3 linked regions of the Anolis sagrei genome follow. The main gene of each other region encodes a partner of the protein of the gene in region 2 in a complex. Links are inferred from orthologs where the notes say so. Each region holds a gene or a part of one and is shown on either strand. Other genes may lie near its edges. The genes, in order: CPSF7, NUDT21 and CPSF6.

Region 1 (3,752 bases), on a different chromosome or scaffold from region 2:
GACGTTTCGCCTGCATCTATGGCAAGCATCCTCAGAGGTAGTGGGGATGCTTGCCATAGATGCAGGTGAAAGGTCAGGAGAGAATGCCTCTAGAACATGGCCACATAGCCCGAAAATCCTACAACAATCCAGTGATTCCAGCCATGAAAGCCTTCGACAATACAATTATTTATTTGTTTATTTACAGTATTTGTATACCGCTTTTCTCACCCTGACAGGGACTCAAAGCGGTTTACGCATAAGTAATGGCAAAAATTCAATGTCAGTACAAACAATTACAATGATATACTACAACTAGCTGTCCCCTGCCACGCGTTGCTGTGGCCTAGTCTGTTGATCTGGAAAATAAAGTAATGAGAAAGTGTTGGTTTCCAATATATGTAATTTATTTCTGCTTGTGGGTAAACAGTATTTTTTGTTGTTTCTTTGCCAGTGTTGATGTGGAGATTGTCTGGTTTGCCTACTCTGGAACATGCAACATATCACTGTCCTTCTTTAGGGGTCCCTTTCAAATCTATGATACTATATCTGTGTGTGTGTGTGTGTGTGTGTGTGTGAATCATATATATTTATCTATATCTATGGCTGGATGGCTCTTTGTCAGGAGGACTTTGATTATGTTTTCTTGCCCTGATGAAGGGAGTTGGATTGGATGGCCTTAAGTATTTTCTGTTGGTCTTGGGGGTTCTGTGTGGGAAGTTTGCCCCAATTCTGTCGTTGGTGGGGTTCAGGATGCTCTTTGATTGTAGGGGAAGTATAAACTACAACTCACAAATGTCAAGGTCTATTTTCCCCAAACTCCATCTGTGTTCATGTCTGGGCATATGGAATATTTGTGCCAAGTTTGGTCCAGATCCATCATTGTTTGAGTCCACAGTGCTCTCTGGATGTAGGTGAACTACAACTTCCAAACTCAAAAAAACAAAAAACCAATGAACGAAATGTCAATGGCCACCAAATCCTTCTGGTGTTTTGTGCTGGTCATGGGAGACCTGTGTGCCACGTTTGGTTCAATTCCATCATTGGTGGAGATTGTAAGTAAACTATAAATCCCAGCAACTCCAACTCCCAAATGACAAAATCATAAATTTTTGAGTGATGGTCACTCCTTGTGTTGTGAGACGTTTTGTTGCCAAATTTGGTGTGATTTCGTTCATTGGTTCTTTTGTTTTTAAGGAACTCATTATGCACAGAGCATTTATATATATATAGATTAGACATTAATCAAATTAAAAAAAATACATCCATGAGCAATCAAACAATAAAACACCGGGCTTGGTCCAGCTTACTCACCCGAACTGACAGCGCCGCCATCTTGGCGCCTTCCCCGGCCGCTCTAGCCCTCCCTCTTGAGCATAAAGAGAGGCGAGCGCAGCCGGAAAGCCGACAGTGGTGATGGGGTTGCGCGCGCCGGGCCGGAAGAGGCGGGCCTTCCTGGAAGGAAGGGAGGGCGGAAGGGGCGGGGCGGCGGCGGCAGCAGGAGGCGCTCACGGAGAGAGGGAGCCAGAGTGAGGTTCGCGCACACGGCCGCTTGCGTCTCGGGCCTGCTGGGGATCCTGGGCCTTGCGTAACGGGCGCGGCGGCGGCGGCGGCGGTGAAGGAGGAGGAGGCGCAGGAGGCGGCCGCGCGGGAGGGGATGAGGTGCCGGCTCCGAGGGGTCGGAGGCGGCGGCGGTGGGAGGTTTCCCTGGGAGCGCGGGAAAAAAAGGAGGCCATGACTGGAGGGAGCGGGAGTGCGCGCGCAGCTATGGCGGCCTCGGCGGCGGCGGCTTGCAAGTGGGAGTAGCGGCGGGAGGAGGAGGAGGAGGAAGGGGGCCTGCTCGGCCTCTTCGCCCCTCCATTCCCTTCCCGCGCCCCCGCTTCCTTCCCCTCCGGGCCGCGCGGCTGAGCGGAGGGGGCGGGGCCGGCGCTGGGCCCTCAGCCTCCCGGGCCCGCCTTCCTCCCGGAATCGTTGTCCGACGGTGGCCGGGGAACTTCATGAGACCCAAGGGCCATCCAATCCAGCCTCCTCCTGCCACACAATTAAAGCACCCCCAACAGATAGCCACCCAGCCTCTACATATGCCTCCACCACACCCTGCGGCGGCAGCGTATTCCACTTTTACCGTCAGGAAGTTGTTCATAATGTTTAGGTGGAGTTAATTTCCCCGCAAGTTGAGTCCATTGCTCCCTTGCGTCCTGGTCTCCAGGGCAGCAGAAAACAAACTTGGTTCCTCCTCAGTGTGACATCCATTCAAATATTTGAACATGACTATTTGTCTCCTCTCAACCTTCTTTTCTCCAAGCTAAAGATACCCAATTCCTTCGGCTGCTCCTCATTGGTCTTGGCTTCCAAACCATTGATCATTGAACATGACCATACATCCCGAAAAACTTACAGCAACCTATTGATCATTTTAGTTTCCCTTCTCTGGATGCATTTTAGCATCTTGGTATCTTCCTTGAATTGTGATGCCCAGAATTGGAGACATCATTCCAGGCGAGATCTGACCAAAGCAGAATAGGTTCTGGCCCAGCTTACTTGTCCGAACGCATCTCCCTCTACATCCCGCCTCACAGTTTAAGATCATCCAGGGAGGACCTGCTCTTGCCCCTGCCAGCATGGCAAATACGGCAGGGACAAGAGACAGGGCCTTCTCGGCTGTGGCCCCCCACCTGTGGAACTCACTTCCCACCGAAGTTTCATCCCTCCTGTCTTTCAGGGTTGTGGTTCTGGGACCAGGCTTTTGGACAACAGACATAGATAGCAGTTTAATATGGAATTTGACTGGAATGACTATATGGCTGTTAATACTGTTTTTATTGTTTTTATGAATGTTCTATTTATTGTTTTTAATTGTTATTATATTGCTTTGTTATATGTAGTGGCATCGAATTGCTGCCAAATGTAAGCCGTCCTGAGCCCCCCTTCAGGGGTTGAGAAGGAACGAGGTAGAAATACTGGAAATAAATAAATAGAGTGGGACTATGCATTTGGTAGAGGTGGTGATGTGTGTTCCTCTTAGTCCTCGATCTCCAGCTGTGGTTCTCAACCTGTGGGTTCCCAGATGGTTTGCTCTACAACTCCCAGAAAACCCAGCCAGTTTACAAACTCTTCAGATTTCTGGGAGTTGAAGACCAAAACATTTGCGGTCCAACAGGTTGAGAACCACTGATCTAGATACGATGATCCTATTGATGCTGCCTAGAATTGTGTTGGCCTTTTGAGCACTAACTCTCCTCCTCTTCTCCCCTGCACAGTGTGCAGCTCTGCCTCCCCTGTTCTCCTCAGAGGCGCTCCTGAAAATATGTCGGAAGGAGTGGACCTCATAGATATCTACGCCGACGAGGAGTTCAACCAGGTGAGCCCCTGCCAAATGGGAGCGAGGGAGAGAAGGAAGGAAAGAAAGAAGGAAAATTTGCCATATTCAGAATCAACTGAAATTTCAAACAATACTGAGGACTTGTCTACAATAATCATTTAATGCAGTTCAAAGCTACCTTCAAACTTTAGTGATCAGACAACAAAAACCCACAAAACTTCATGAAAGAAAGCCCTTAATGTTCATCTGTGCTAATTGCCATTTGGACCTCAAACTGGTTTCATGAGTTCCTATTTAACCACGTTTCTCAATACAAATTTGAAACTGCATTAAATGATATTTGTAGATTCGCCCCAAGATTGGCTACATTTGCCTAAGAGCATAAAAATAGTTAATTGGTTCTTGGGAGAGTTCGAGCTTGATTTATCCTGGGACCCAGTGATTTATCTTT
Region 2 (3,752 bases):
GTGTGTATAGACACATGTATATGCATATGTGTATGCAGATATATATGTATGTATAAGTAAAGGTAAAGGTAATCCCCTGACATTAAGTCCAGTCATGTCTGACTCTGGGGTGTGGTGCTCCTCTCCATTTCTAAGCTGAAGAGCCAGCGTTGTCCATAGACACCTGAAAGGTCATGTGGCCAGCATGACCGCATGGAGCGCCGTTACCTTCCCGCTGGAGCGGTACCTATTGATCTACTCACATTTGCATGTTTTCAAACTGCTAGGTTGGCAGAATCTAGGGCTGATAGCGGAAGCTCACGCCGCTCCCTGGAATTGAACCTGCGACCTTTTTGGTCAACAAGCTCAGCACCTCAGTGCTTTAACCCACTGCGCCACCGGGGGCTCCTTTGATTGTAGGCGAACTATAATTCCCAGCACATGGAATGTGTGTGTGTGTGTGTGTGTGTATATATATATGTCTCTATATATGTAGGTATATTTGTGGGTGGGGATTTTAATATATGCATATATGTATAATTGTATATTTATTTATTTACGACATTTCTATGCCGCCCATGAGGTCTCTTCCAACTCAGGTGCATGCATGTCTCCATAAATCTCTATGTCTCTATATGTGTGTATGCGCATATATGTATGTGGGCATATTTGTGTTTTTGTATATATATGCAAAAGTACACATATGTCTATATGTGTGTGTGTGTATATATGTGCATATTCATATGTATATGTGTATGCAGATATATATGTTTGTATATGTTTTGTATATGCGTATACAGATTCATGCATATGTATATATGTCTCTATATATGTATATATATTTGTGGGTGAGGATTTTAATATATGCATATATGTATGATTGTATATTTATTTATTTACGACATTTCTATGCCGCCCTTCTCTCCCCGAAGAGGACTCAGAGCAGCTTACAAGATATATATACATACAATATATTATATTATCAGCATAGTACAATATTAGCATTAAATATTAAAGATGGAGGGGTAGCAACCCTTCTCACCCCGAAGGGGACTCATATAAATAGACAGCTAGGCATATACAAGCCCTATGAGAACAAGCCCTATGAGGAGCGGCTTAAAGAGCTGGGCATGTTTAGCCTGAAGAAGAGAAGGCTGAGAAGAGACATGATAGCCATGTATAAATATGTGAGAGGAAGCCACAGGGAGGAGGGAGCAAGCTTGTTTTCTGCTTCCCTGGAGACTAGGACGCAATGGAGCAATGGCTTCAAACTACAAGAGAGGAGATTCTATCTGAACATGAGGAGGAACTTCCTGACTGTGAGAGCCATTCAGCAGTGGAACTCTCTGCCCCGGAGTGTGGTGGAGGCTCCTTTTTTGGAAGCTTTTAAGCAGAGGCTGGATGGCCATCTGTCAGGGGTTTTTATTTGTCGTGTCAGAGCAACCAGTCCATTATATATTACATTTCTAACAGAACAAAGCAAACAGACAGAAAAATACACATCTTGTGAGTTTGGTAGTTGGTTAAATGTCCTTTGACCAGTATCTGGCCACTTGGAGTGCTTCCAGTGTTGCTGCAAGAAGGTCCTCCATTGTGCATGTGGCAGGGCTCAGGTTGCATTGCAGCAGGTGGTCAGTGGTTTGCTTTTCTCCACACTCGCATGCCAAGGATTCCACTTTGTAGCCCCATTTCTGAAGGTTGGCTCTGCATCTCGTGGTGCCAGAGCGCAGTCTGTTCAGTGCCTTCCAAGTTGCCCAGTCTTCTGTGTGCCCAGGGGGGAGTCTTTCATTGGGTATCAGCCATTGGTTGAGGTGCTGGGTTTGGGCCTGCCACTTTTGGGCTCTCGCTTGCTGAGGTGTTCCAGCGAGTGTCTCTGTAGATCTTAGAAAACTATGTCTAGATTTAAGTCATTGGCGTGCTGGCTGATAACCAAACAGGGGATGAGCTGGAGATGTCTCCGCCTTGGTCCTTTCACTATTGGCTGCTACTTCCCGGCAGACGTCAGGTGGTGCAATACCGGCTAAGCAGTGTAATTTCTCCAGTGGTGTAGGGCACAGACACCCCGTGATAATGCGGCATGTCTCATTAAGAGCCACATCTACTGTTTTAGCGTGGTGAGATGTGTTCCACACTGGGCATCATAGCGCAAGGGCAGATGTCTTCACTGTGTCTGGTTGTGATCCCCAGGTTGTGCCAGTCAGCTTTCGTATGATGTTGTTTCTAGTGCCCACTTTTTGCTTGATGTTCAGGCAGAGGGGAAACAAACAGGCACATGAAATCACTCTAAACAAAAGATTCCCCCCAGGCGCTTCTAGGCCATTGAATGCTAATCAAGGTGGTCAGTTGAAACATTCACACCTCGCTCCAGCAGACAAGAGTCCTTTGTCCCACCCTGGTCATTCCACAGATATATAAACCCATTTTCCTATTTCCAACAGACCTCACTACCTCTGAGGATGCTTGCCATAGATGGGGGCGAAACGTCAGGAGAAAATGCCTCTAGAACATGGCCATATAGCCCGAAAAAACCTACAACAACCTTATGTAGATATATTTGTGAGTGTGGGTTAATATGTGCATTTGTGTATGTGTGTATAGATAGACATATATCAACGTGTGTGTGTGCATATACATATATGTGTGTGTGTGTGTGTTTCCAGCAGTAGCATTATGCAATGAGCTGTCCCAGCCTAGGCCCTCTTCCCCACCCACCCCGTCGGATTGAAGGCCCGACTCACAGGTTGATGGTCCTCTCGAGGGTGAGGGGCTTGCTCTGCTGGATGTACTTGTTCCCGAACTGGTTCACCCCTCGGGGCCAGCCGGTCTGGGAGCGGTTGGGCGGCACGACGGACATAATGGAGGCCCACGCGGCGGAGGCTCAGGAAGACACCGGCATCCCCCACCAAGCCTTAGCCACCCCGCCAAAGGCCGCGCCGGAAGACTAGGCCGCACTTCCGGCGAAGAGGCCATTCCCGCTTTCCTTTACACTCGCGCGCGCCACGCAGCCAATCAGAGCGCGTGCGGCGGGCTGAGCTCTCTTCCTATTGGCTGTCAGGAATCAATACTACGGACTCCTTTGAGTCGATAAGCACCAACCTTTACCCTCTCATGGACGCGCAGCCAATCGGAACGCGCGAGGCGGGCTGAGCTCTACTCCTATTGGCTGTCAAGGATTGATACAGTCTCCCGCGGCACAGCCAATGAAAACGCGCAAGGCGGGCTGTACTCCATTCCTATTGGCCGTCAGGAATCGATACTTAGTTCCCATTGGTTGCTATAGCGCCGGCATCTCTCCTTTTAGCAACCTTTCATTCCTATTGCCTGTTACCGCGGCGCAGCCAATGAAAACACGTGAGGCGGGCTGTACGCTACTCCTATTGGCAGTCAAGAATCGGTACTGCCTCCCGCGGCACAGCCAATGAAAACGCGCGAGGCGGGCTGTACTCTATTCCTATTGGCTGTCAGGAATCAGTACTTAATTCTCATTGGTTGCTATAGCGCCGCCATCTCTCCTTTTGGCAACTTTTCATTCCTATTGCCTGTTACCGCGGCGGAGCCAATGAAAACGCATGAGGCGGGCTGTAATCTATTCCTATTGGCTGTCAGGAATCGGTACTTAATTCCCATTGGTTGCTATAGCGCCGGTATCTCTCCTTTTGGCAACCTCTCATTCCTATTGCCTGTTACCGCGGCGCAGCCAATGAAAACGCGCGAGGCGGGCTGTACTCCATTCCTATAGGCTGTCTGGAATCGGTACTTAATTCCCATTGGTT
Region 3 (3,752 bases), on a different chromosome or scaffold from region 2:
GGTGGTGATGGCCGACAGGGAGCTCTGGCGTGGGCTGGTCCATGAGGTCACAAAAAGAGTCAGAAATGACTGAATGAATGAACAACAACAACCACCTGGTGGAGCAGTGGGTTAAACCGCTGAGCTGCTGAACTTGCTGACTGAAAGTTGGCCGTTCAAATCCAGAGTGGGGTGAGATCCCGCTATTAGCCCCAGCTTCTGCCTACCTAGCAATTTGAAAACATGCCAATGTGAATAGAGCAATAGGTACTGCTTCTGCGGAAAGGTAACAGTGCTCCATGTAGTCTTGCTGGCCACATGACCTAGGAGATGTCTACAGACAACACTGGCTCTGGCTTAGAAATGGAGATGAGCAGCAGCAGCACCACCACCACCACCACCACCCCCCCCCCCCGAGTGGGACAGGACTAGACCTAATGTCAGGGGAAACCTTTACCTCTACTTTAAGAGGGAAATACAGTAATGCCTCGGTTATCCAACCTTTGCTCATCCAACATTTTGTATTATCCAATGCAGTCTGCCTCCCGCCCGGAATAATATCCAGGGTGGGAGAAATAAAGAATCCTTGTCTGTTTTGGTGCTAAATTCATAAATACAGTAATTATGACATAACATTACTGTGTACTGAACTGCTTTTTCTGTTGATTTTTGGAAAAACATTTTTTTTGGTGCTTGTAAAATTGTAATGTAATTTGACATTTAATAGGTTTTTCCTTCATCCCTGCTTATTATCCAATATCTCTGCTTATCCAACGTTCTGCCGGCCTGTTTATGTTGGATAAGCGAGACTCTACTGTAGTAAGTGTTCACTTAACAATTACTAGGATATTGGCTGGTAGTTATCTCCATAAGACAACATTACAATTGTCATAATTCAAAACCACAGATTTAGCTCAATGTTGGAGTCACAAAAAAGAGGCAACAGTAAAATATTGTGTAAATGCCATTTATTTACTTAAATGTTAGCAATAACGAGCCATGTTTACAGAAAATGCTTCTGCTGTACTTCCTAAACAGGAACATCAGCCCGTTTAGCATGCCTTGAGAATGCTGATTTTATCTGTAAAATCTTTGATTTTTAATACTTACTAGCTGTATCCGCTACATGTTGCTGTGGCCAATCTTCCCTCCCTCTTTCTCTCCTTCCCTTCTTCTTTCTTCCTTCTCTACCTGTTTCTTTCCTCACGGCCTTTGCTCTTTGGTTCCATCCTTCCTTGTCTGGTTCCTTCCTTCTGTCCTTTCTTCCCTCTCTTTCCTTCCTTCTTTCACTTTTTTATTTCCTTCTCTCCTTCATTCCTTCTCTACCTTTCTTTCTTTCCTTCGTTCCTTCCTCCTTTCTGTGTACGTGTTTTGTGTGTATATATATGCATATGTGTGTGTATATAAACAGAGGCTAGATGGCCATCTGTCAGGGGTGCTTTGAATGCAATATTCCTGCTTCTTGGCAGGAGGTTGGACTGGAAGGCCCATGAGATCTCTTCCAACTCTATGATTCTACGTGGTTTTCCGCATGCGCTGTAATGTATTTTTTGGGTTTTTTTGGCTTTTACAGTCTTATCTGCTATGTTTCTCAATGGTTTTAAGAGTAATGGTCACTCGTTGGCCTCATAGGTGTATTGTGTCCAAATCTGGTGTCAATTCGTCCAGTGGTTTTTGAGTTCTGTTAATCCCACAAATGAACATTACATTTTTATTTATATAGACTAGCCACCCCCTGCCACGCGTTGCTGTGGCCCAGTCTGTGTTTACGTGTGTTGTGTGTGTATATATGTTTATATGTATGCGCATATTTGTATATGTCTGCTTGCATATATGTGTGTTTAGTTTTGCGCATGCCTTGTAATGTATTTTTTGTTTTTAAGTCTAGCTTGCTGTGTTTTATCGGTGATGATCACTCGTTGGCCTGATAAGTATATTGTGTCCAAATTTGGTGTCAATCTGTCCTGTGGTTTTTGAGTTATGTCAATCCCACAAACGAACATTACATTTTTATTTATATAGACTAGCCATCCCCGCCACGCGTTGCTGTGGCCCAGTCTGTGTTTATGTGTGTTGTGTGTGTATATATGTGTGTGTGTGTGGTTTTGTGCATGCCTTGAAATGTATTTTTTGTTTTTAAGTCTAGCTTGCTGTGTTTTATCGGTGATGATCACTCGTTGGCCTGATAAGTATATTGTGTACAAATTTGGTGTCAATCCGTCCTGTGGTTTTTGAGTTACGAACGAACATTACATTTTTATTTTTATAGATTTTATTATTTATGTACCTTGGTCACGTATTTAATTTCTCGGGAGAAAAGGGGTCGTGCATGGGTAAAATTGAAGCAGCCCTGCCCTAAACAGCCACCTTTTACGGGAAGCCGTTTCACACACTCCCGGCGGGGCCCCGAGAAACGCTCCTCCATCCTCTGGAGAGGCCTCGTTTGGAGAGAGAGAGGTGTTGTGTTGCTGCCTGCCTTTGCCCCGGGGGAGCGGGCCACAACAAGCCAGGCAAGGCAGTGGATTCGACGACAAAGGAGGAGAGAAAGGGGGCCGAGAGAAAGCGAGCGAGCCGCGCCGGGCCCCATTGTTGTTCCTGGCAGGCCGCGCAGGGCCTCCCTCCCTCCCTCCACGCTAGGCCGCGCCCCCTCCCGCGCGCTCTCCCCCTCAGGCCCTCTTCACAGGCAGCGGCAGGAATGGCGCCCAATGGCGGCAAAGAGGCCTCCGCTCCGCCTGAGCCCGCGCGGCCTAGCAGCGCCCCAAGCCGCCTTACCTGGTTAAACTCCTCTCCTACGTCGGCGTAGATATCTATGTGGTCCACGCCGTCCGCCATATTCCGCCGCCACCTCCTCCTCCTCCTCCTTCCCCCCGCCCGCCCTGCGCCGCCGCTCCTGCAGCCGCCAGACCCGCCCGCTCGCCCGACACCACAGCTGCCGCAAGCGAGCGAGAGGGAGGGGGGCGCTTGGAGGGGCTCCGCGTCACTTCCGGGAGCGAACACAGCAGCTTCCGCTAAGGCAGGCCTTGGAGTACTCCGCTCTTTATGTGCCCCCTCCTTCTTTCCCTCGCGCAGCTCGCTCTGAATCGAACCCCGCGTGTAGCCACGCCCCTTGAGGCAAATCTCTCCCCCCTCCTCCCCCCTCCGTTGGGAAGCGCGCGCGCAGTTAGGAAGGAAAGGGCGCCATTGGTGGCCTTTGGTTCTAACCCGCCCCTCTCTCTCAGTGCACTGCAGATTGAATGGCGTTTGATAACCCTTGTAACTGCTATGCCTCAATGGTACGGATGGAAACCTAGGGGTTGTCTTTGACAAGGCTCCAGCCGCCTTTGACAGAGGAAGCTAAAGGCCTGTGGCCGCTCTGGGCCAGAGTTTATTTATTTGTCGTGTCAGGGCAACCAGTCAATTGTATTACATTTCTAACAGAACAAAACAAACAGACAAAACACATAATTTGCAAGTTTGGTAGTTGATTAAATGTCCTTTGAGCACTTGGGGTTCCTCTGGTGTTGCTGCAAGAAGGTCCTCCATTGTGCATGTGGCAGGGCTCAGGTTGCATTGCAGTAGGTAGTTTGTGGTTTGCTCTTCTGCGCACTCGCATGTCATGGATTCCACTTTGTGGCCCCATTTCTTGAGGTTGGCTCTGCATCTTGTAGTGCCAGAGCGCAGTCTGTTCAATGCCTTCCAAGTCGCCCAGTTTTCTGTGTGCCCAGAGGGGAGTCTCTCATTTGGTATCAGCCATTGGTTGAGGTTCTGGGTTTGAGCCTGCCACTTTTGGACTC

What was found.
Region 1: the proteins of NUDT21 (region 2) and CPSF7 are in contact, whole or in part, in a crystal structure (PDB 3N9U), measured with the Homo sapiens proteins. The link is inferred for Anolis sagrei from reciprocal best matches to the Homo sapiens genes NUDT21 and CPSF7. Residues at the interface, in NP_008937.1 of Homo sapiens: Arg68, Asn152, Glu154, Pro156, Tyr158, Tyr160, Pro162, Ala163, His164, Ile165, Thr166, Lys167; in NP_001129512.1 of Homo sapiens: Trp91, Trp92, Thr93, Thr94, Asp95, Gln96, Glu112, Lys114, Phe115, Glu117, Asn118, Arg119, Ala120, Asn121, Gly122, Gln123, Ser124.
Region 3: the proteins of NUDT21 (region 2) and CPSF6 are in contact, whole or in part, in a crystal structure (PDB 3P5T), measured with the Homo sapiens proteins. The link is inferred for Anolis sagrei from reciprocal best matches to the Homo sapiens genes NUDT21 and CPSF6. Residues at the interface, in NP_008937.1 of Homo sapiens: Pro151, Asn152, Glu154, Pro156, Tyr158, Tyr160, Pro162, Ala163, His164, Ile165, Thr166, Lys167; in NP_008938.2 of Homo sapiens: Trp90, Trp91, Thr92, Thr93, Asp94, Glu95, Lys113, Phe114, Glu116, Asn117, Arg118, Ala119, Asn120, Gly121, Gln122, Ser123.

Annotation. Positions count from the first base shown.
Region 1 is NC_090021.1:236,184,997-236,188,748, reverse strand, and holds the start of CPSF7 (cleavage and polyadenylation specificity factor subunit 7), read left to right. Parts: upstream 1-1,435; 5' UTR 1,436-1,513; intron 1,514-1,522; exon of another isoform or gene 1,523-1,641; intron 1,642-3,239; 5' UTR 3,240-3,286; coding exon 3,287-3,340; intron 3,341-3,752. Other genes in the region: SDHAF2 (succinate dehydrogenase assembly factor 2, mitochondrial), read right to left, coding at 1,294-1,314.
Region 2 is NC_090028.1:6,633,758-6,637,509, reverse strand, and holds the start of NUDT21 (cleavage and polyadenylation specificity factor subunit 5), read right to left. Parts: upstream 2,940-3,752; 5' UTR 2,834-2,939; coding exon 2,718-2,833; intron 1-2,717. UniProt on the Homo sapiens protein: Component of the cleavage factor Im (CFIm) complex that functions as an activator of the pre-mRNA 3'-end cleavage and polyadenylation processing required for the maturation of pre-mRNA into functional mRNAs.
Region 3 is NC_090025.1:143,242,171-143,245,922, reverse strand, and holds the start of CPSF6 (cleavage and polyadenylation specificity factor subunit 6), read right to left. Parts: upstream 2,866-3,752; 5' UTR 2,812-2,865; coding exon 2,752-2,811; intron 1-2,751. UniProt on the Homo sapiens protein: Component of the cleavage factor Im (CFIm) complex that functions as an activator of the pre-mRNA 3'-end cleavage and polyadenylation processing required for the maturation of pre-mRNA into functional mRNAs.